Linked DNA regions of Danio rerio. The protein of the gene in region 2 interacts with the protein of the main gene of each other region in a biochemical or structural test. Links are inferred from orthologs where the notes say so. Each region holds a gene or a part of one and is shown on either strand. Other genes may lie near its edges.

The links.
Region 1: the proteins of gab1 (region 2) and grap2a form a complex in vitro, tested with the Homo sapiens proteins (2 studies listed by BioGRID and IntAct, with this or other methods). The link is inferred for Danio rerio from reciprocal best matches to the Homo sapiens genes GAB1 and GRAP2.

Annotation. Positions count from the first base shown.
Region 1 is NC_133178.1:28,208,568-28,220,675, reverse strand, and holds the end of grap2a (GRB2-related adapter protein 2a), read right to left. Parts: intron 11,933-12,108; coding exon 11,841-11,932; intron 11,715-11,840; coding exon 11,595-11,714; intron 6,886-11,594; coding exon 6,702-6,885; intron 6,444-6,701; coding exon 6,339-6,443; intron 6,040-6,338; coding exon 5,941-6,039; intron 5,100-5,940; coding exon 4,923-5,099; 3' UTR 4,239-4,922; downstream 1-4,238. Other genes in the region: fam83fa (protein FAM83F), read right to left, coding at 3,354-3,815. UniProt on the Homo sapiens protein: Interacts with SLP-76 to regulate NF-AT activation. Binds to tyrosine-phosphorylated shc.
Region 2 is NC_133176.1:38,713,382-38,725,552, reverse strand, and holds part of gab1 (GRB2-associated-binding protein 1), read right to left. Parts: intron 11,078-12,171; coding exon 10,852-11,077; intron 8,379-10,851; coding exon of another isoform or gene 8,289-8,378; intron 5,572-8,288; coding exon 4,928-5,571; intron 1,828-4,927; coding exon 1,733-1,827; intron 1,123-1,732; coding exon 819-1,122; intron 1-818. UniProt on the Homo sapiens protein: Adapter protein that plays a role in intracellular signaling cascades triggered by activated receptor-type kinases. Plays a role in FGFR1 signaling. Probably involved in signaling by the epidermal growth factor receptor (EGFR) and the insulin receptor (INSR).

The DNA.
Region 1 (12,108 bases), on a different chromosome or scaffold from region 2:
TAGCAAATAGGCAAGTCTTAAAGCCTCTGGCACTCTTACTGACAAAGAACGCTCTTACAGATAAAGCCCAAGGCTAGAGAGGTTATTCCCTGACTGATTATTATTTCATTCTTTTCACTAAAACTCATTCACAGTGACACGCATTGTACTTTACAATAGATTAAAGAAAATTCTTTAAATGCCACCTGATCTTTAATCTAGCAGTAAAATCCTCTCCTTTAATGATTTTATTATATTCTTAATAACATCATCGCTAAGTTACTGCTTTAAATCAACATTGCCATTTATCCACATACAGTAATACTACATGAATGTAATTCAAAATCAAAATTCAAATCAAATATCGTAGCTAAATATTATCAGATTTGTAATTGTAATTTAATTTAAAGTTATTTTCCTTCTCAATCTTAATTTCATCATGAATTTAATTTTGGGTTCAAATGAATTATGATGTTCCTGTTACATATCAGGATGAAAGATAGTTGTTCAAACACTGTGGGTGATTTCCAAATAAGAGCTCAAAGCTGTTTCTTAAATTATTGACACTCCTCCAAAATACCCACAGTCTTGTCTGTTTCCAAGAAATTTGACTTTCTTACAGCAAATAAAATCTACTAAACTCAGTTATTAGTCCATTATTGTTTCTTCTGCCTTCACAAAACTTCATGGCAGGTTTAAATACATTCATGTCAGAGTTAAGTAAATGTTATTTTTGAAAGATGATCTCATCCGCAGCTGAATTTATAAAACCACATGACTTACAGTTAATTTAAAACATAATTGCAGACCAATATAAACTAGTAAAACTGGTTGTGGCCACATGCTTCGTCATCATGTGAATAATACAAATTAAATGAATACCAACAAATAACATGTACATAAATACATGATCTATTAACAACTAAAACTAACCAGTATGTATTTCCTTCACTGCTTTTGCACTTTTTTTTTTCCAAGTGCATAATCCAATAGTGACAGTACATTTTGTTTTTCATTACTGTAGACTATTTATAACATTTTAGTTAAGTAATCTGTGAATACATTTTTTTTTTACTTCTAGATAATAGTATTTTTCATTTTGAAGCTACTAGATAGCATTTTATTAGCCATTGACCAGTGTGTGTGTATTGTAATAGCACTACATTTTGGTAGCGCATTATTTTACTAGTCCTGTTTCACAGTCCACAATCATTACCAAAACTTGGCAATATCCATGTACAATTACTAAACCTAAATCTAGCCTTAATTTTCTTTGATAAATATAAAGTACACATATTGTAAAATGCAAAGGTCCTTTCCTTTATCACTGGTTACCTAACTAACAACATACTGTAGTTTTGGTCTTGTTTAATCACAGGATTGAATGTATACTTCCTAGGTTTAAAATATTGTTAGTGAGTTTTAATTTTCTAATATGTATAAGTGGCATTTAGTATCAGTAAAACTAGATTTAAATGAATAACACTGAACTAATGAAAACTGAATACAATTACTGAACTAGTAGGTTATAGTAGTAAATGTCCTGCTACCACTTCTGTTAAACAAAATGCTAATTTTTGAATCACTGACCTCCATGGGCATATAGGTAATAATAAGAGCAGTAGCAATGGAAATAGATACATTTGGAATGTTAGAACAGCAGCAAGAACCAAAATATTTTAAAAAACTATAATAATTCAAAATTTTGAAAAAATGATAAGAAATGAATAACTTAATTTTAAGGCATCCGTGTTGCAAGTTCAATCTACTTACTGTTGTAATTACAATTAATCATGCATGATTACATGACACTAAACCTAACCAGTATTGTAACCCTAACAATACATTAAGTGCATGTAATTAATTAATACTTAGTAGTTCAATGGATTGCACACTCGCTGTAACAGGGCCACCTTTAAAAATGAACCAAAATTTGACCCTGAAAGTCAGGCACAGATTAAGAATTCAGAGGCCCCTGGGCACAATGTCTTGTAGCCCCCCTACCTGGTCGCACCCCTATAATTGAATTAAAAAATTAAATTATTATCATATTTTGTAATAAAATTAATCTATATGTTATTGCCCACATTTTTTTTTAAATAAATGATATACAGTACATATACATGTATTTCAAGTCTACAAAGATTCAACTTATTTTTGAAGCATTTAAAGCACACTTTGAAAAAAAAAAATACTAATACAACTAGTGGAAATTAATGGATTTTAATATACTTATTCAGATTGACTGAAGCAGTGCTAAAATTTATATTTAAGGGTATTTTTAATGTATAATCTCTACAAATTTAATAATGCATATGATTAGGATATAACCCCTCTCCAATCCAGTTCTATGAATCTGAGTCTTGCATAATACACATACTTATTAATGATTCCTACTTGTCTTCCTCGTGATGAAGAGTAGGCAAAATCTGATATGTAGTAGGGGAAAAAGAAGAATGAGCTCACCAGATGCTGGATTCGAACCGGGTTCATGATTGATTGTGTCAAAACATGTAGCCATGCGCTTTACGAGCTATGCCACTCACACCGCTGTTAGATGCTCTCTTTAGTTAAGTTGTCTCTGTCAATCAAACGGTGATGAGCCAACGAGGTGTGCTATTTGCACGTAGACTAAATAGACACTACAAAATCGGCGTTTCCCCCACCCTCGCAGGGGCCCCTGGGCCTGTGCCCATAATGCCCATTGGTTAATCCGGCCCTGCTGAAGGTAGTGAATAGTCTTAGCGGAACTGATCACATGCCATTTTCTAGAAACATTGTGAACACCAAACAGTAACAATGTAAAACTTTATTGGGATACTATGGGATAGCTGAAATGTAATTATTACCAGCATCTAATATATAATTGTTTTGACTAATGGAAAAAATAATTGATCTCTAAGATAAGTTTGAGTGAACTATTATTAGGCCTACTAGTGGAACTCAAAGACATGCTCTTCATTAACGTATTGTTACTTAAAGGATATTTCACCCCCAAAAAATAAATAAATAAAAAATTATGATAAATGATAGATGATAAATTTACTCACCCTCAAGTGTTTCCAAACTTTTATGAGTGTCTTTATTCTGAACACAAAATAAGATACCTTGAAGAATGCTAAAAAACCTTTAACCATTGACTTCCATAGTACATTTGTTAAAACAAATATTATTAAAGTCAATGTTGACAGTTTTACAGCTTTCTTCAAACATCACATTTCATGTTCAACAGAAGAAACTCAAACAGGTTTGGAACAAGTTAAGGGTGAGTAAATGACTTATTTTGGGTGAACTACCCTTTAACTATGTATTTAAAATTATTCTAGTTTTTGTAGGTGTTTTGACATAAATGATAAAATGCCATAGACTCCTACCTTTGTAGATTCTTGAATGAGTTTGCGTACCACCTCTTTAATATGCGGGCTGTTGGATTTCGGTGGGTGGGTGTAAACCGACACCCGAGTCACCCCTTTGTAATGGCCGTTGCTGGGCCAACCGATGTCCAGCGGAGGGATCTCCGTGTCAGACATGGTGGGCCAGTAGGTAGAGTGTACGCCCGAGTCCTCGCTCGTATCATGGGGCGACCGTGAGCAGCAGGTGTCCGAGTCGCTGTCATACTCCTGGAAGGTCTCCCGCATCCACTTGATCTCCCTGGCGGACAGAAAGTCTTTAACGCTATCCTCTTTTAGGCGCATCTTGAACGCGCCATCCCCGTTCCTGAGGAGCTGCTCGAGCGCGGCCCGCTGCTCCTCACTGTAATAAAACTCCGGTTTGGACTCGGGTATTTTCACGTTTACATGTTCATCGTCCATGCATATTAGTTGAGACTCAGCCATGGCAGCTGCGCTCCCGGAAACAACGGGTTCACCTGTGTGGCTTCTTCAGGCAGCCCTCTCTACCCACCTTTACCTGTTTGAGTGGTTTGGCTGAGGTGATTCAGTGCCGAATAGAGTGGGTGGGCGGGGATTCGGAGCCGATGGGCGGGACTTCAGAAAGGTATTGGGAATTGACATGACGACACTTGTTTAACTTACAACAGAAGACGGATCAACCTGTCACGGTAGTTTCCCTGTCTGACTTTTTTGTTTCAAGATAACTGACAAGAGTCAGGAAGGTAAACAAAGGAATGGACACGAATACAGCTGCCAACAGGAAAAGCTAAACTAAAAAAGTTTAACATTATTCACATGGAAATAACAAAGAAAATTTGGGAACAAAGGGTTTTTAGTTTTAAGTATGGCGTTAAAAATAACACTGTATTTTTGAAAGCACTTTTATTCAAGTTCTGTATAACACTGCTGTTATCATGTTTGAGTCTGACATCTTTTCCATCCTGTACAACAAAACAACATGCTTTGTAATAGGCCTGTTTTGACAAATTGTTCGAACTGGTAAAACATATAATTCAATACAAAACGGTAACAAAACCTTGCTAACTGTAAGAACTCCTGTGTTAGTGTGTCCTTTTGAAAACCTAAAATAAAACGCTTTTATAAATGATCAAGGTGATGACAAGTGTCCCAGCAAACACCGAACACTGGCCAAATGTACTCACTAGGCCATAATAACATTTTCTATGTAGGTTGCAAAACCAAACCAACAAAGAATGTTTTGGGAATGTTCTGGCCAACTTTTCCACTACTTGTAAACTGGGGTCATTGTGTATAAATGTACTGTATAATTCAATAATCTGTATCTGGGAGAGTTTGACTAAAAGGAATGGAATGGTATAGTCCTTTCTTCGTACCTTATTTCTAAAATAAAAAAACGGTTATATATATGAAAAAGAGAAGCACGAAAGACTTTGATGAGAAATATCTTTTTCTCAGTTGTCTTCAACAGTTCTGCAGCAGTCTATATGAAATTCATTTGAATTTAATGGACCAGTCCATACATTGTACATGTATTTGACTCTTGGTATGGTGATTCCACACCTTTGAGTATTAGATCTGTTCTGTGTAATTGGCAGGGAAAAGACCACTCCTGCCCCGCAATCGACCTTTCCACCATGACGCATCCGAACGGTCCAGTACTTCAATGATGTCACCGCTATTGAAACCCAATTCATCGTCTTCCTCTGCTGTGAAGTCATATATTGCTCTCACCTGTATGGTTGATCTCTGACACACACACATACACACAAAAACAAACAGTGTCAGTACCATAAAAGATACCAATATTCTCCTGAACTTTGTTCTTCTATAGTCTATCTTTTTTTATTTTATTATATTAATACTATATTATATTACATTATATTCTCTTTTCGGCTTATCCCCTTTATTAATCAGGGGTCGCCACAGCGTAAAGACCGCCAAATTTTGCAGCATATGTTTTACACAGCGAATGCCCTTTTAGCCCCAATGCAACACTGGGAAACACCCATACACTCTTGTATTCACACACATACACTACAGCCAATTAAGCTTATTCAATTCCCCTATAGAGCATGTCTTTGGACTGTGGGGGAAACCGGAGCACCCAGAGGAAACCAACGCCAACACGGGGAGAACATGCAAACTCCACACAGAACCAGTGACCTTCTTGCTGTGAGGTGATCGTGCTACCCACTGCGCCACCGTGACGCCCTATATTATATTATATTATATTATATTATATTATATTATATTATATTATATTATATTATATTATATTATATTATATTATATTATGAAAATAAAATTGACTATCAATATACATGTTAGGTTTCACTAAGAAAACAAGAATAAAAATTGACATATTTCTGACAAAGTAAAACATTTTTTGCACAATTATAAATCTTAAATTCATAGAAACAACAAAATTCCCTCATATCTGTATATACAGTATGTGTTTTTGTCTCAGCTTAGTTTCTGGGACAAGAATATATTTCAACACTGACATTATTGCACACATGACCTTTACAAAAAAAAGTTTACACAAGATCTACACGTCATAAATTTTTCAAGATTTCTGGCATCCTACCGGAGCAGGGGCAGTTTCAGAGGTTCGTCGAGGGGCCGGGCTGTTCTTCCCTTGGTGACCCAGAGTGTTAGATTTCTCCTCAACACTTCCTCTCTTACCCTGAGAAAATTGCACAACTTTACTCATTAGAAAGCTATTTTTTTTCTCGTTAAGCAATATGCATAACAATTGTAATTCTATATTTATCTTAATGACACACTTGTGCACACACACACACATATCATTATATATTCATTATTTATTTAAGCTTAAAATGTTTTAATGGACAGTTGGTTTGCTGAATGGATAGAGGCCTCTGTAATTCAGTTTGAATGGAAACATTAATAATTTAACAAGCATTTTCAGTTTTTAAATGCAAGGTCAGATGGGGCAGAATTTCCCTGCTGACACATTACTACCTTTTGGTTGTGAGTTGGATCTGTTGTGCTGCGGTTTTGTGATGAGGTTTGTGGACTGCCATAGCCACCACCTGGGGGAGGCCGAACTTCTGGCTGACTCTTTATCTGAAAGCGAGGACAATTTTAATCAATTAAAAGTGAAGAATATCCACCATAGCATTTCACTTTTTGATTCTCTTACATCAGCTATTCCTTGAAAAGCTAAAGGGAAATCAGCAGATTCATGAGTGCAAAGAAGATGAACAATTTAATTATTAAGCTTGAGTTCACTGAGTTTGTGCATGAAGTTCTGCATGAACAACAATCTAGAATATTAACAGTAAACGTGCTGTGTTTATTGGTTTAAATCGAGAGATTATTTACAGGCGGGGGTGCCCTTGGCTCATCTCCACTTCCATCCCTAAGAAAGATCTCCTTCTGCTTGGATATAGAGGTGGTCTTGTAGAAGTCCACAAGCTTGTTTAGAGAGGTAAACTTCTCTGTCCACAAATAATAGTGGCCCGATTTGTCCTTCATAACTTTGAAATGTTGCACATCATAATCGTGTCTGTGAACAGAGAGGGATAAAAACAGAACATGAAGTTAGATATAAATAAGTGAATGTGAGATGTTTATTTATATATATATTTATTTATATATATATATAAATTTTTTTTTCAACACATTTATTTCAGGGTCTTTTTAGTCATATGATGGCCTAATATAATAATAAATTCACACATACCTACAGGGTGGCTGCAGCAGGAGGTTTCGAAAACCAGGCGATTCTAATGTCATTACTCGATTGAATGGGCGTTATCAGTGGTTATCAGCTGATAGATATGGGCCAGTTGGGGCTTTCTGCACCTACTTGTAGGCTCATAAGGCTGTTATCATCCATATGGCTGTGGGCGCAGAAGGCCCTACTGACCAATATCCATCACTGATAACACCATTTGATCCCATTTGAGTGATAACATTAGAATCGGGTGAGAAAACAGTGTTCACAACATAATGCTTTAAATATAATAAGAATAAATTCAGATTTGATGAGTTTCACATATTTTCGGTCACGTTACAACAAAATTTCCTTGTGCTTTCAAATTGAGCTACCAAAATGAGATTAGAGTTAAATACAGTTAAATAACCATAAAATGAATTTAGTGAGATACATCGCTGCAGGCACCGGACGTTAACATGATGCACGCCAACGTCGTGGAGACATTGGATTTTGTTTGGAAATGAAAATCGAGTTGACGTCAAAATCAAACACCTCAACAATAATCAACCTAAAATCAACCAAATATCAATGTGTAATCATGTTACACCTTGACGTTGTATCTATCAGACGTTGAATTTTGGTCACTTTCCAACATAACCTAAAATCAACCATTGAACATTTAATGTGAGACAGAGTTTTTTAGATCTTTACATTTGATGGATAATTGATAAAGAATTTTGATCTTTACAAAGAACTTTATAAAACATAATATACTTAAAATTGTTTCAAGATATGTTCTGCCTACTTTTGCTTTGTGTTACTTTAAATAACGATAGGATTCAATTCAAGTTCAGTTGTGCAGTGCTTTCCACAAGTATTACAAGGCCTTTATATTACAAAGCAGCAATGTGTTGTGTATATGGCGGACAGTACAGTATGGTTATTTTTCATTGGATGTGTAATCAATTCAGAGTACTTCATTTCAGTTTCAGTCAAGACTTTTCATTTTATTATGGTAATATTTGATTTGAAATGTTTTTGACTCCTATAAAAAAAGTTTCTTATTCCGGCAACCAGCATAGGGTATATGCAGAAACATGCTAATGGGACTTTTAATTTGCCAGTAACCTGGATTAACCGCTTCCAATGAACTGAATGCCATTGCAAAATCGCAAGATCTCCACTGGCTGAATGAAATCCAATATAAAGTGGGTCTCAGATTGTACAAGAAGCACTGCATTAAATTACATTTTCCCCACCATGTGTTTATAATATAAGCATTTTTTTTTCACCCAAGTATAATCAATGGAGTTTCTACGCTCCTCTGCTAATTCTGACAGGTGCGTGCGAGTAAACGGCTTTTTGTCTCGTTTTACATTTGAGCAACTACATGAATGCCAAAGTCTATTTAACTGATTGTATTTAAATTGCATTAAAACATCGATGCTGTAAAAGGACCCATTTAAAATTGAAAGAAAACTCACAATAAAACGTCAAAAGTTTAAAAAGTTTAAAAGTTTATCAGTATGGGAAGGGAACAACATTAGCTCGGCATATACCCTATTTTGAAATTGGTCAAGACTTGGCAAATCTTTTTTTAAAATATTGTTTACTGATATGAAAGATTTACTGTAAAGCATAATAAACAAATGTATATTTTCAATATACAATCAAAATATATTTTCAACAAATGTACATAAAATGTATAAATGCATATATGATCGCAGGCTGAACTTTCAATTTCATATGGTGGTATTAAAACTGGCTTTCATTTATCTTGTTTACATCTTCAGACACAATTAAAAAGTAGCAATTCAGCCAAAGTCTTTATCCGAAGCAGGTTATTCAAGTTTAATTACGAGTCCTGATGTATTGAATTCCAGCAGGTTTGAATAAACAAGTTAACAAAACCTGCACAACCTTCTCTCTGCACTAGAGGGAACCCTCTCTCATTCTCTCTTTCTCTTTCTCTCTCTCCCTCAGTCTTACAGTGTGACCTACTGTATAGCTGATTTATGAGAGGATGGCTAAAACAAATGGACTGTCTGACCGCTGTAATAAGATGGATGTTATTGATGCATTATTGATGGGGTTTTTCCACAGGCTAGATTCAGTCTGTGCGTGTGTGGGCAGAAGCTCTCATTTGTGAAAGTCTTCCAGCCTCGTGGCCTTAGTGGCAAGAAGACTGACATTAATATTTGTGTGGTTACAGCTTTATAGCATTCAGTGGCCTTCACAAGCTAGCTGAAATATTAGTATTAGGCTAACAAGTCACTTTATATAATTTGTTTTATTTTTGTGCAATATTATTCTAATAGGTGCTTGAGGAAAAGATGAAAAGCCTCCATACTTTTGTGCCTCCCCCAGTCATAAACAATATCACAATATCATTTTTAAAGGGATCTTTCACAGTTATTTTCTTCTCTTTTTTTGATCTGTTTATTAAACTTTTACAGATATAACAAAGTCATTTTACAGGAAAATTTAAACAAATATTATTTCCACCCCAACCATCTAAACAAGATGAAATTACAATTATCTAAGAGAGAAAATAAATGAACAAATAAAGAAATGAATAAAAAATTTGAATAAATTAAAAACTAAAAAAATAATTTTAAAAAATGTAATAAATAATAATAAAAAAAGCTGTAAAGAATACATATATACCTTGATAATTCAATACTACAAACAATTATCCTCAGGTATTTGTACAATGTACTTAATTACATTTGCTTTGCAATTGAAAGGCCCTAAGATTTAGATTTGTATTGCCCTAAGATTTAGACAGTTTGAAGAGATACTGACATGCTCAGAAAAGAAAATTCTAAATTGGTCTCATGTTTCAGAAAAAGCCCTTGTATTGCCATTTATTGTAAACCTGATTTTTACTCATTGCATCTTGCAACCAATTGCCAAAACTCTGGGGAAATCTTTGTTTCTAAATAAAAGAATACACCGTCTTGCTAACAGTGTCAAAAATGCAAGGGTGTTTGCAGTACAGCTCGATAACCCTGCTATATTCTGAGAAAGTCCAAAACGTGCAATAAGAGGTGTCCAGTGTGCATCTTTGAAAATTGATAGCCAAAAAGAAGTGATTGACAGACAAAGCCAAATCATATAGTTGAGGTCAAAAATATGAAACCCCCTGAATTATTAACCCCTGTTTATTTTTTTCCCTAATTTCTGTTTAACGAAGAGAATATGTTTTCAGCACATTTCTAAACATAATAGCTTTAATAACTCATTTCTAATAACTGATTTATTTAATCTTTGCCTTGATGACATATTTTACTAGATATTTTCCAAGACACTTCTACAGTATACTGCTTAAAGTGACATTTAAAGGCTTAACTAAATTAATTTAGTTAACTAGGCAGGTTAGGGTAATTAGGCAAGTTATTGTATAACGATGGTTTGTTCTGTAGACCATCGGAAAAATATATAGCTAAAAGGGGCTAATAATTTTGACCATAAAATGGTATTTAAATAATTAAAAACTGCTTTTATTCTAGCCAAAATATAACAAATAAGACTTTCTCCAGAAGAAAAAATATTATCAGACATATTGTGAAAATTTCCTTGCTCTGTTAAACATCATTTGGGAAATATTTAAAAAAGATTTTTTTAAAAATCAAAGGGGGTTTAATAATTCTGATTTCAACCGTTTTTATTAAGTCTGCAGGTTAAAATGAATTTCTTCATCCTCCAGTTGTTCCATATACCTGTTTGAGTTTCTTTCTTCAGTTAAACACAAAAGAAGATATTTTGCAGAATGTTGGAAACTGATAGTAACAACATAGATACAGTGCTCAGCTTAAATACTGTAATAACACCCCATTTTAGCAAATGAATATTTATTCCATTTCTCAGTGAATAGGAAATATATTTTGACGCATTTGAACAAAACAGATTTATTAAACAGATATATTTATTAAAATAATATTTTAGTTACCGAATATCTTTAGAAATGGAAAGATAATACATTTAAATTCATGCAAAATATTGCAAAAAAATTACAAACTACAAAATTTCGACTACATTTTTAGTTTCTCTTGATTTTTGCTCTTTTTGTTAATTTTGTAAATTTGGGGTACCAGTTTAGACCGTTATTGTAAATTATTTTATCTAATATATACGCACACATATAATATTATAAAGCATTTTATAGAAAATATTAATTTAAATGATGGATTTGTGAGGGGTTTCCTAGTACTGAGTTGTGGCTGAAAGGTCATCCGCTGTGAAATACATATGCTGGACTAGTTGGCTGTTCATTCCTCTGTGGCGACCACTGATAAATAAGGGACTAAGCCAAAGGAAAATGAATGAATGAATGGTTTGTGAGGGATGTACTTATATACTGTATGCTGAGAACTGTATATATATTTTATTCAATGGCTACTGCATTCCATCATCCTTTGTGTTCAATAGAAAACAGAAACTCATAAAGATTTGAAAACTCAAGGGTGAATAAATGTGAATTTTCTTCTTCATCTCTTGAAATTCACACTAAAGTATAAAGTAATTTTGTGACTTTAATAATAATTTTGAGTTACCTGACAGAGATGGAGAAATCTCCAGGTGAACTCTGGCTGCCTCGAATCAGGAAAGCGCCCACCTCTCGAGACATGAGCGTCTCCTCAGCTGATCCGCGACTGGCGCTCTCTTTAAACCAGCTGCAAAAGAATACATTACATTGTTCATTATGATCTATTTACAGATCCCACTATATTAAGTACTGCACGTTCAGTGATTATTTGCATGTGGTGTGCAAAGATTAGTATAATAGTATTGTAGCTTACCTCGGTATCTGCCTGTCAACATAGTTTTTCGGCACATAACCCTCATGGCCATGTAACTCTGCTTTGAACCAATCGTCCTGAGACCCCAGAATCTGTCAAAAAAACAGAAAAACATGCTTTTTAAAAATGACAATTAATATATAAATAAAATCAGAATTATGTCATTATAAGTCAGAATTGTTTAAAAAGATTTTATAAAGTACATTAACAAAATACATATATCACAACAAAACAAAGACAATAAAAGTTGAAATTTTAATATGAAATA
Region 2 (12,171 bases):
GCTTTACGCATAAATTATATCCAATTCTGTTTTCATATAAAAACTGAAAACTTTTAGCAGTTCATTGACATGACGATAATGTATTGGGGGTCTGAAAATTTAAGTTTTAGAAAGCAAAAGCCATAATTGTAGTAATTGTATGAAGAATTGTATGTCACTATCATGTAAACGAACCCTGAGCTAACCAAATATGTAAACCATATGGACTACATACAAAAAATGATGGTTATAGTGTGTATTTGATAAACAGTAGTATTTCAGAAACTGTAGTAATTAAAGATACAGAATTGTTTCTGATGAGCAGAGCAGAGCACTGCTGCCATAATGTTTAGATCAATAGTGCTGTCCCAGCTGGCTGCTGATGTTTCGGCCTGCTTGTGCAACTTTCAGCACGTCCCCTTTTTTGTCTTGGACCAGATTGAAATTCCCCTCGCAGGTCTGGCCATCAAAGAGGTCTTTGACTAAGGCACAATGGGGACAGAGGTGACCGCTCCAGGCTAACGGCACAGACAGGCTCCCTCATACCCAGAGCTCTGAATCTGTGGACAAAAGCTTCTTTCATTTGTGAGGTCACATGCTAACGATTAAAAGGCAAAGGCCACTGAAACCGTGCTGTGGACTAGTTCGCTAAAGATCTGAGTTTTGGGATCTGATCAGCAGTTTTTGATGCGGTTTTATAAGCATGGGCCGGCACCTGTTAGTAGGAAAGGTTGTAATGAAAGCAATGGAATTAGTACTTGTTAAGTTGCTGCGCTGAAGTGATGCAAGCACACAAATTTCTCTTAACAGAAAAGATAAAAACAAACCTCAGGGCTCACCTTTACGGTCAGGTTTGAGGTTGCGGTCTATGGGTGGAGGTTGGCATTCAGATATAGGAATCGGTCTACGGGGTGGTGTCTTGGGACTGGACCTGAAGCCCATGTGGGCTGGAGGGGGCACCTGTTTTCCAAGGGAAGAGAACTCCACTGTGCCTGGTGTCATGGGGACGTAGTTGGGCTCCTGTATAGGTTCTGATAGGCTGCCGGAGCGCTGATGTGACAAAGAGTGGACGCTCATGGGAACATAGTTTTCATCCATTTCCTCTGTAGAAACACCTCCTACTGGCACCATGCCTTTATTTTTCTACATGCATACAAAAACAGACACAGGTTAGAAATATTTGAGACACTTGAAAGAAAGGGTAAAAATGAGCACTGGGATATTCAGTGCTCAGCATATACAAGTACACCCCTCAGAAATCTATCTTTTAAACTCATATTTTTAATAGGAAGCTATATTATATTTGTGCATATACATTATATTAGTCAGTACTGAAGCATAATCTGGAGCTTATCTAACAAAATAAATTACCAAAATGGTCCAAAAACAAGTTCACCCAAATTTATATGATATAGAAAAATATTAAATACAAATTCAGAAAAAGAGGAGAAATCAATAGAAGCGAAAAAATTGAAAAAAATTAGTTGAAATTTTGTAGGTTGTAATTTTTTTTTTTTTTTGCAATATTTTGCTTGAATTTAATTGTATTATCTTTTAATTTCTAAATGTTTGGTGACTGAAATATTATTGTAATAAATACATCTGTTTAATAAATCTGTTTTGTTTAAATGCACCAAAATATGTTGCTTATATTCACTAAGAAATGGATACAAGTATTCATTTTCAAAATGGGGTGTACTCAATTATGTAGAGCACTGTATAAAGATAAAGCTTAATAAGATAGAAAACTTACAAAATAGTTGTTGAAACTTTCATTAAAATCAAACGAGCAACTTTTTTCTGAAGGGAAGGGCCGGGGTATATCATAGCAATCTTGAGATCCGTAATCTGTGGAGAAAAGAAATGCAAAAAGATAATATTTAATGTGTTATTATATTTTTAACTCTGTTACTGCTCTGATTGAATGTTCAGATGTGATTACTCCAAGCATGTCACGTCACATGATCCTTCAGAAATGTGAGGAAGGGAGTGCATGTAAACAATCTCTCAAACTCTCACAATACCATCACACAACACTAGAGGGACCCCCTCGCGACTACAGGATTTCACCACAAACAGCTTGATGATAGAATTGTCAATCAGAAAAAAATAGATACAGAGCAGACCTTAGTATTCATAACTCTTTAGAATCATTTAATTTATTTTACAGAACTACACCAGCTCTCTACCACATCATTCTGCTACCTGCTTGATGCATTGAATATGTCCCACAAAAATTAAATATTATTATTAATAACTTTTATCAGCCTTTTTTCCAGTCCATCCCTTGTATAAAGTGCTATAGAAATGAATGTAATTTGTTTGAACTCAGATGTTTAAGGTTAGTCTTTGTATGATCAATATTGAAAACAGAAGCTTGCTTAACAATAGTTGTTGTAGGCTTTGTGATACATCTTCTTATAATACTTTTGTAACACTGCAAATGTCCTTACTGTCAATCAGTTTAGTGCGTCATTGCTTCTTAATCAAAGTGACACTACCTGACATGCAGCAGACTACCAGCACTGAATACCATTCTTCCCAAGATTGCAAGGACGCCATCTGCAAATCCCTCCAGTTTTAAAACTGGAACCAGCAAATGTTTTGTTCTTCGACAAAATAAGTAAACAGAGAATCCTATTCTTTTTCAATCTGTGTCTTCAATAAAGCTTATTTGACAAAAAATGTTGTGTTCAAACTATTGGGGTAATGACACAACAAACTGATGGCCATTGCTGGGAACTGTATTTTTTCAGTGTTTTCCATATGTTTGCTCTAGTTGATTTCACATCTGCAACAGTTTGCCGATTCATCATGCTGAATAAGCCTCAGGGCCATCAGCGAGGCAAATCACTCAGATTAGCTATTCAGTTTACGAGAATTAAAATGACAGTAATGAAAATTCCACAGACAGTATGCTGTTCTTGTGTTGTGTCATCATACCTGAGCATTCCAACATGCAAATATTTTCATTATTTCATGGTGTTTGTAATGAAGAGAGTGACCAACATAATTGATATTAAAAACCATAAGCAAGTGCTGCTTTGTTCACCATTTGCATTTATGCAATTCTCCTTTTGGTTTCTCTTTTCAGATGAGGAATACTGATTACTAATACCTGCTGATAAAGACAATCAATTCCTTACATGTACGGGCATAACACATGTCTTTGAAATGTGTTTACAGAATGCCATTTTGCCCAGATGCAATCAATGCACAAAATTCTTTAAGGGGTAGTTCAGCCAAATATTTGAGTTCTGTTTTTAATTGTTTACCATCATGTCATCTCATGCCCTGAATCCTTTATTCATTTTCATAACACAAATAAAGATTTTTTTTTATTTAATTCAAGAGCTTCCTCATGCATAGACAACAACATTACTAAGATGTTCAAAGTTCATAAAAAGGACCAAAAACAGTCAAAATATTTTCATGTCCATTTAGTGGCTCAACTGTAATCATACCAAGCTCCAAAAACACTTTTGTTTCACAAAAAACAAAACAAATCTAAATATACCTTTGTTGGCCGATGTTTTTCATTTAAAAAATGTACTATAGGTAATATATGTGCTTGCATGTCATGTAGTTGACAATGTTTGGGTTTCCTTTTTTTACTGGATTTTGACTCTCTCTGGACCATTTCTGTCTATAGAGGATGAGGGAGCTCATCAACAATATCTTAAAGAGCACCTATTTTACCCCTTTTTTTCAAGATTGAATATCTAATAAGTATTTTGTACTTTTTTTGTACTGTCTGTAAAGTTTTAGATTAAACTGCAGATCAGTTTATTTATTCTACCTTTCTGAATCTGGAAAATTTGAGCTTTTAGGTCACTGTAGTTGTTTTTGTTGCCTGTGCATTTAATGCAAATGAGCTAGTTCTCCCCGCCCACCGTTCCCGCATGCACCTCAGAGCCATAGAGATCTTTCTGTATAGCTCTGCATGTAGCCTTCACCTGCTGCAACTCATGTCAGATAAACAGCACAGTGACAGACAAGAATGGGAAATATGACAGTAAGGACTTATGGTTATTTGATGCATTTGTTGTGGAGTTAATTAAAGATTTTCTGGAACAGTAAGTCACACAATGGCGCAAGCATGCACACATGCTAACATGTTTAACTTTGCACTGTTTTGCACAGCAAATATGACAGGATAGACGTTAATATGCACTGCTGTATGGACATCCATAAAAATGTATAAAATGATATGATGTATAAAATAAACCTGAGTTAAGTCCACAAAATAGGATTGAAGCATCTTCTTTTATAATCAGACTGACACTATGCTGCTGTGGTGATGAATTACAGCAATTTTACTGTGTTTTCTTTATTACAAACATGCACCGTTTTAAAAACGTTTCAAACTTGTAAAACTCACTCTTGAGGTACAGATGATCACAGAGAGCTGAACAGATCTTTTACCAGTTGCTTTGCGCAAGACCTGTCTTGTTAATATAATTATATGCGTATAGCGGAGATATGTTAATATGCGGCTGTCAATCTATTTGGTGGGGAGGGAAAACCGTACTCCTACATCACATTGCGGTGGGCCTCAAAATGGGAGGGATTTGGATCCTATCTTAACGTCAGAATATTTAAAAAAAAAAAAGAGACTTATTGTCTTTATATCACCCCAATATGACTGTGGACACATTATACCTGCACACAGCTCTGTCTAAGCTTACAAAAGTTGATATTCATCATAGGTGCCCTTTAAAGTGTGTTTCGAAGATAAACAAAATGTCAAATGAGAATTCGACCAACATGAGAGAGAATAATTACTTAATTTTATACGTTTATTTTATTCTTTGACTTTGGCTTGGTGTGACACCCATTGTGAAACTTACCTGTCTTAATAACTAAACGTTAAGCTAACTGCTCTTATGCTTAAAAAAAATGAAGGTTAAAATAGCACACATGACTGAAATACATAATATTTTCTTACCTTTACGCAGACGTGAAGAATCCACCGTACCAATGGTGTTGCTTCTGAGTGCTTTGTTGCCTCCTGCACTTGTCGGAACACAGTAATTCGTATCAGTCTCAGACACTGACCGCGGTACCACATAAGTGTCTGTAGGCGATCGCTCAGGGGGGACTGATCCCCCACTCACTGAAGGCTTTGGTGGACGTGGTGGTGGAATTACCTCTGTGGACCCTGAAACAGCCTCCACTCCTGCTGTTCGGGGAACCTGGTAGGTGGAATTGCTGCCAGGTGTAGGTGGAATATCATAGCTAACTGACAAGTTCCGCAAATGGGCCTCTAATGAGGGTTTCCGACCAGGTGTGTTAAAGACATAGAGTTCACCAGGTTCACCGTCAGGAATGGGAGGGGAGGTCGCCGACTTCGGCAGCAGCACAGTGTCCTGAGAGTAACTTCGGGGCAGGTGGTACAGGCCCTGTGAGTCGGCCGACAATGACTGCCCGCGCAAAGGAGGAGAATCGTAGAGCCCAGTGGGATGTTGGGTGGAAAAGAAACCATTGACCGGGGCGTTTTTGGAGGTGGAGGAGGTGGGTGTGTAGTGGGAAGGAAGGTTGTCATTACAGTCAGGTTCAGAGGAGGTAGACTTGGAGCAGTCGCCATGAGCCCTGCAAAGAAACCAAAGTATGAGATGCAGATTGTCAGTTAACTTTTCAATGCAAAATGTATTTAATAATGCAAATGAAGAGCAATTAAACTGTATAAAATACACTGTAATGTTCATGTTCTAAAACTAGTCATGTCATCATGCTTTTTTGCATTACAAATTAGTCTTAAATACAAAAATATAGAAAGTTTATTATTTAATAATTAACTGGCACTTAAAAGTTAATATACACTCAGTATGTCATTAGTGTGTGGTAATTGATTGCTGAAGTGGTTTATTTTGCAATAATTGTTCATTACAGATGCATTCAATTGTTTAGTACTAATTTAAAACTATAATGTGTTTTAATTGCCATGATGAAATGATAAGTATTGCCTTGATGAAACAATGTGTTTCTCTAATCCTCAGAGAGAACTGACACACTTCCTGTTGTAGATGCAATTGTAACAGTGTAGTTTTGTCGCAAAAAGTGAAAAATTACTTATTAACTTTAAAAAAAGGAAATCAGTACCTATAATATCCAGAAAAGGACTTAAACCAAGTAAAACAAAGCCTGGAAAGATTAAAAACTTGTCAATACCCAAGATTGAGTAATTCACGTTCCTTTATTTATTCATGCAGCCACTAAACCTTACTATTATACCAAAGTAATACTAATGCTAGAAAAGAAAAACTACTGAATGCACATTAAATCAATAAATAGATTATTTGAAAATCATTGACAGCTATGACATTAGAACAAAACAAGTGTGTCATGAGAGAAATAAAGTATCTACACTGTGAGATTGGCTGTCTGGGATGATGGTCAAATATAAATAACAATCAATACACAATATTGACCACAGATGGCGACAATTAAGGCTCTGGAGTCCAGTATACTTTAGGTGAAACTGAAGAATTAAATGGTTTGAAAAAACAAAAACAAAAGAAAAAACATAAATTTAGCTTTAGTTGGTAAACATCTTCAAACTATTATTGTGCTCCAGGGCTCTGTCTTCTATGATTTGGAAATCTGTTCCAATTTCTTTACTTTTAAGCCCATACAAGTTAAGTGATACATCTAAAAAAATACAGAGAACAGTCACTTTACAGAAGAAACTGAAGTGTAATTCTAAATGAAAGCAATATTAACACTGCATTGTCATGATAAAATCTGTCCAGATGCATGCTTTACAGTAATCTTCTGTTTAAAGTGCTACATAAATATTCTTAAAGTGTCTTTAGTTGACTAAAGTGACAAATCCACAACAATATGATCAGATGCTTTTTTTAATGTTCTTATTACTGTCATTTGCAGTTATTTTGTTATGGAGAGATGAGTGACACATACAGTGCATCCGGCAAGTATACATAGCGCTTTGCTTTTTCCACATTTTTTTGTTACAGTCTCATTCCAAAATGGGTTAAATTCATTTATTTCCTCAAAATTCTACACACAATACCCCATAATGACAAAGTGAAAAAAGATGGAAGCCACTCCCCACCTGGAATTTGCCAAAAGGCATCTAAAGGACTCCCAGACCATAAGAAACAAAATTCTCTGGTGTAAGGAGACTAAATTTGAACTCTTTGGCGTGAATGCCAGGTGTTACGTTTGGAGAAAACCAGGCACCGCTCATCATCAGGCTAATACCATCCCTGCAGTTAAGCATGGTGGTGGTGGCATCATGCTGTGGGGATGTTTTTCAGCTGCAGGTACTGGAAGACTAGTCAGGATAGAGGGAAAGATGCGTGCAGCAATGTACCGAGACATCCTGAATGAAAACTTGCTTCTGAGTGGTCTTGACCTCAGACTAGGGAATCGGTTCATCTTACAGCAAGACAATGACCCAAAGCACACCGCCAAATTAAAAATGGAGTGGCTTCATGACAACTTTGTGAATGTCCTTGAGTGGCCCAGCCAGAGCGCAAAATTAAATCCAATTGAACATCTCTGGAGAGATCTGAAAATGGCTGTACAGTACACTGTCGCTTCCCATCCAACCTGATAGAGCTTGAGAGGTACTGCATAGAGGAATGGGCAAAAATCCCTAAAGACAGGTGTGCCAAGCTTGTGGCATCATATTCAAAAAGACTTGAGGCTGTAATTGCTGCCAAAGGTGCATCAACAAAGTACTGAGCAAAGACTGTGAATACTTATGTACATGTGATTCTTCAGGTCTTTAAATTTTAATTAAATTTGCAACAATTTCAAAAAATCTTTTTTTCACATTGTCATTTTGGGGTATTGTATGTAGAATTTTGAGGAAATAAATTAATTTAATTTATTTTGGAATAAGGCTGTAACACAATAAATTGTGTAAATAGAGAAGCACTACGAATACTTTCCGAATGTACTGTATTTACATAATAACTCAGTATAATTTAATTCACTTTAAAGGTACACCAAGTTAGTTTCAACTCTTCATGAACATCCAGGGAAAAAAAATAACATTGCTGATAGTATTTCAGGGCATTTAACTAATCGTTATAAAGTGTTACAACCAGGTTAGTGTCAAACCCAACCATGCATGTCACAATTCACACAAATCCCAATTAAAACTGTGCATTCACAGTTTTAGATACACAATGCAAAACAAAAACTAAGTAAAGTATTTATTTTAGGAAGTTACTGAAAAAAGGTATGCACACATTCAGGTAAAAACAACAGTGTCAGACTATTGGCCAAATGTGTGTGCGGTTTAGTACTGAATTTTCACACTGATGCTCTTCACTCACTGACTGTCATGAGCAGCGCTCCGGCTCTCACACTCCTCCAAAAGCAGGTATTCCTGCTCCTCCTCCCCTAGACAAAGAGGAGCAACTAGACTACACCACACACAAATACACACAATGAGCCCCTTATTTCCAGATCTTTACTCATCATACCTGAACGTACTCAAAGCTTTCAGTAGAGGTGGGCGGTTTTTTACATTACATAACGCTGATACTGATATACACTGATATAAATACAACAGACTCAAAAAGGGAACAATCCTATATAACAAACTGTTGGATAAAACAATGCATTCCAATGGCAACTAATTTAGTGGCTAATTTGTATGATCTCATTTAGGGCTGCACGATACATCGCTTCAGCATCAAAATCGCGATGTGCGCATCCGCAATAGTCACATTGCAGGAGGAGCGATGCAAAGCAAAAAAAATAATAATAACAATAATATATATATATAACTGCCATATTATTTTATTTATTGTAAAGTTAATTGTTGGTAATTATTAAAACAAGTTTATCTTATCCACAATTGTTTTATAACATGTTTATTTTTTTTTAAACCACTCAGGGGGTTATTGTTTAGCTGTTTTTATATTTTTACAATTTTGTGACGAGATATTTCCTTCTGTTTTTTAATTGTTGTAATAAAAAAGTTTGTAATTGTTAAAAAGTTAAATAACTTATTTTGTCACTCGTGTTAATTCCTAAATGTGATAATAAAGTGTCATCTTTACATTCACCAAATGAGCTTACCTTTATCACAGTAAAAGCAACATTTAGTATTAATATCATAACATATTAGATCCTTGATTTATCTGAATTGACAGTTAAGTCATATTTTTTATAAACAACCCAAAAGAAAGTGTTTTTACTTATTAATTTTTATATTCTATGAAAATGCTTAAAAAATTACCCAAATTATTATAGAATTAATGATTATTTAATTTTTGAGCAGTTCAAAACTCCCGATTCTGAATTTTTAAAATATCGCAATATATATCGCAGGGAAAACAAATATCGCAATGTCAATTTTTTCCGATATCGTGCAGCCTTAATCTCATTCATATATTTTAGTACGATTTTCCCATCTCCCAGAGAGGGGTAGTGGTGGGTTTTTGTGCCCATGCCTCCTGTTAAAAATCATATATATTCATAAGAACGAAATTGCATGAACTTTTTCGAGTTGACCATTTTTTTTAACAATATGCACAAAAGTTACATTTGCTCGTGAGATGTTGATGGATGAGCCATCTTTTAAAATAGCCAATAAATGGGTCCCTCTTTATTCGAGGGAGTTATGTTCTAAAAATAACCCACAATAGGCAAAATCCTTGAAATAGTCTGCTTTATTTTTACAATTATTATAGATGTTTTAAGGCTGTAAAACTTCTCATAACATACTTCATACACTTTTCTCAGACAGGCATTAACCTTTTCACACTTTTAGCTCTTGTTTAAACACTCACAAAGTTCAAACCTTCGTAGAAAAATAAGTCCAGTGTTATAAAATGTAACCAAATATTTGATTGATCATTTATTTATTTTCTCTAATGACACCCTACAGCAGTGTAACTTCTACCTTCCTTTAGCATGTCCAGAAGTTCTACTTTTTGTGGAATGGTTAGCATCTTCCTCTGCCTTTTACAGTAAAGCACTTTAGAGTAACATTGCTAGCGATCGAAGATGTATGTAAATTTGGCAAGCTGAACGCATTCTGTACTGTACAGAAAACACAGCATTAAGGAAATTGATTGAAAACTTTCTACAGCCAATCAGGGCACAGAACACTATCAGGGCGCAGAACACAATACAATGTAGAAAAATAGCATGTCGAATTGCACAAAAAAATGGTGAAACTGCGAGGCTGCGAAAAGTGAACCGTTATGCCAAAGGATGTCTGTATACACATCTGTAGCTATGTTTCCATCCAAAGATGCAAAATAAAACTATGCGCAAGATTAGAATATTACATAAAAAGAGTTGAGATTAAAGAAGCACTTCCATCCCATGAGTCAAAGAGAACAAAATAGTCACGTCCTGATAAACTGGTGCCAAATATCAAAAAGAACAACGGAATTTGCTGAGGTACAGAATAAATCGCTTGTGCTTGAGAGGACAATGCCAACACGACGATCTTGACAGTTCTGGAGGCAACTAATACTATAACAATAATACTGAAATAGTTACAGCATACTAGAATGACCAAAACAACATGTCAGATGTTTTACAATGTTGTCAGCATGCTCAGTTGTCCATTAATGCATCCCATCACATGCATTCTCATCATCACATGAAGTCTTAAAACAAAATCACATCACTTTTTTAAAATGAATGTATTCTGTAAAAGTGTTTCCATCGTAGTTTATGTGCATTTTTTATTGAATTAAACGTTTATTGTATTAATCGTATTATTTATCGAATTTGTTTTCATAGCTTATCGTATTATTTTTTTATGCGCATCATCAAAGTTTATATGCATCTTGGCATTTTAATCAAGCATTTGTTAATGCAATAATCCAAAATGTGCACAAAAATAAGTGTATGGAGACATAGCTTGGGATTTACCTGTTAGGCTCAGGTTTTTTGCTCTCACAGTTGAGCAGCCAAAGGTAGTCCTGAGGCTCATCTAGACTGGAGGATGATCCCAGCTGTCTGATGCTAACGGGCTGGTAGGGAGGAGGCAGGTTGGCTAATGCAGACGCCCCTAAAGCTCCGCCCAGCCCTCCACTAGGGGCCATATCCACGACCAGACCGCCTGGCACATTAACATGATGAGAGACCTTTGCAGAGTCTGTAGAAAGAACAGTGGGGTTAGAGAGGTTAACATAAAAGCTTCACACTTTATGAGATCACGAGCTTCGAGACACATTTAAGATTAGATCAAACTAAGGGCTACACTGCTTATTCAAAAGCTTTTACTGAAACCGTTCCTGTGTAAAACAAATTACTATTGTGAAAGTGTCTTTAAAGGATGACTTCTGGTAAGCTAAGAGCACTTGGAAAAAAAGAACTATAAATTGTGAAAATTAAATTGTGAAAATACAAGGTGTGGCTGTGAAATGTACTGCACGCACAAAAAAGTACACAAAAAAAATCAAATATCAAATAATTTTATTTGGTTCGAAAAAAAAAATTATATAAGTAATTAAAAAATAACGTCTTATTCATTAATAATAATAATTTGTTGCTTAATCACACTGTTTTCTGGAGTGCTTATAGAATATTTTTACAAATATTCAGCTCTCTATGTAGGTTTGTTTTAAGAGGTCCATATAGAACTCATCGTTGCATATTATACATACAAAGTTTACTTCAACCTAAGTTCCGCATACAATATCATTGGTATTTGTTTCTTTTTAAATGTGTTTATTTTAGTTTCACTTCTTATTTAAAGCAGTTTTTTGTTCCATTTACCTCCTCAGATTCTCTTTGACATATGCAACAGAATTATTTTTTGTTCCAAGAATTACATACAACAGAAAGTGGGTCTCAAACTGCCGGCCTGCGGGACATTTACGGCCCCACCCTCCGGCCCGCAACTGATGTCAAAAATGTACCGAAATTCGAACCGCAAAAATAAATATATTTTTGAATGTCTTTCATTGATGTGCAGTCGTATCTAGCCACATGTTGTTTTGACCCGCCACCTAATAGACATTTAAAGTACTGCATTCAGATTAGTTTTACCTTCATTTTCTCTCAGTGTACAGTCGAGTCGAAATTAACACACATGCATTTTAATTCTGTGGCTGATTTAAAAGTTAAAATATATGTCTTTGCTCTATTTTTACAAGAGCTCTATTTTTGTAAATATTCAAGGGTTGTTTGATAATGAGTAGTTTTATATCACATGTATTTTATTGTACAAATGCTTCTTCATGGCTT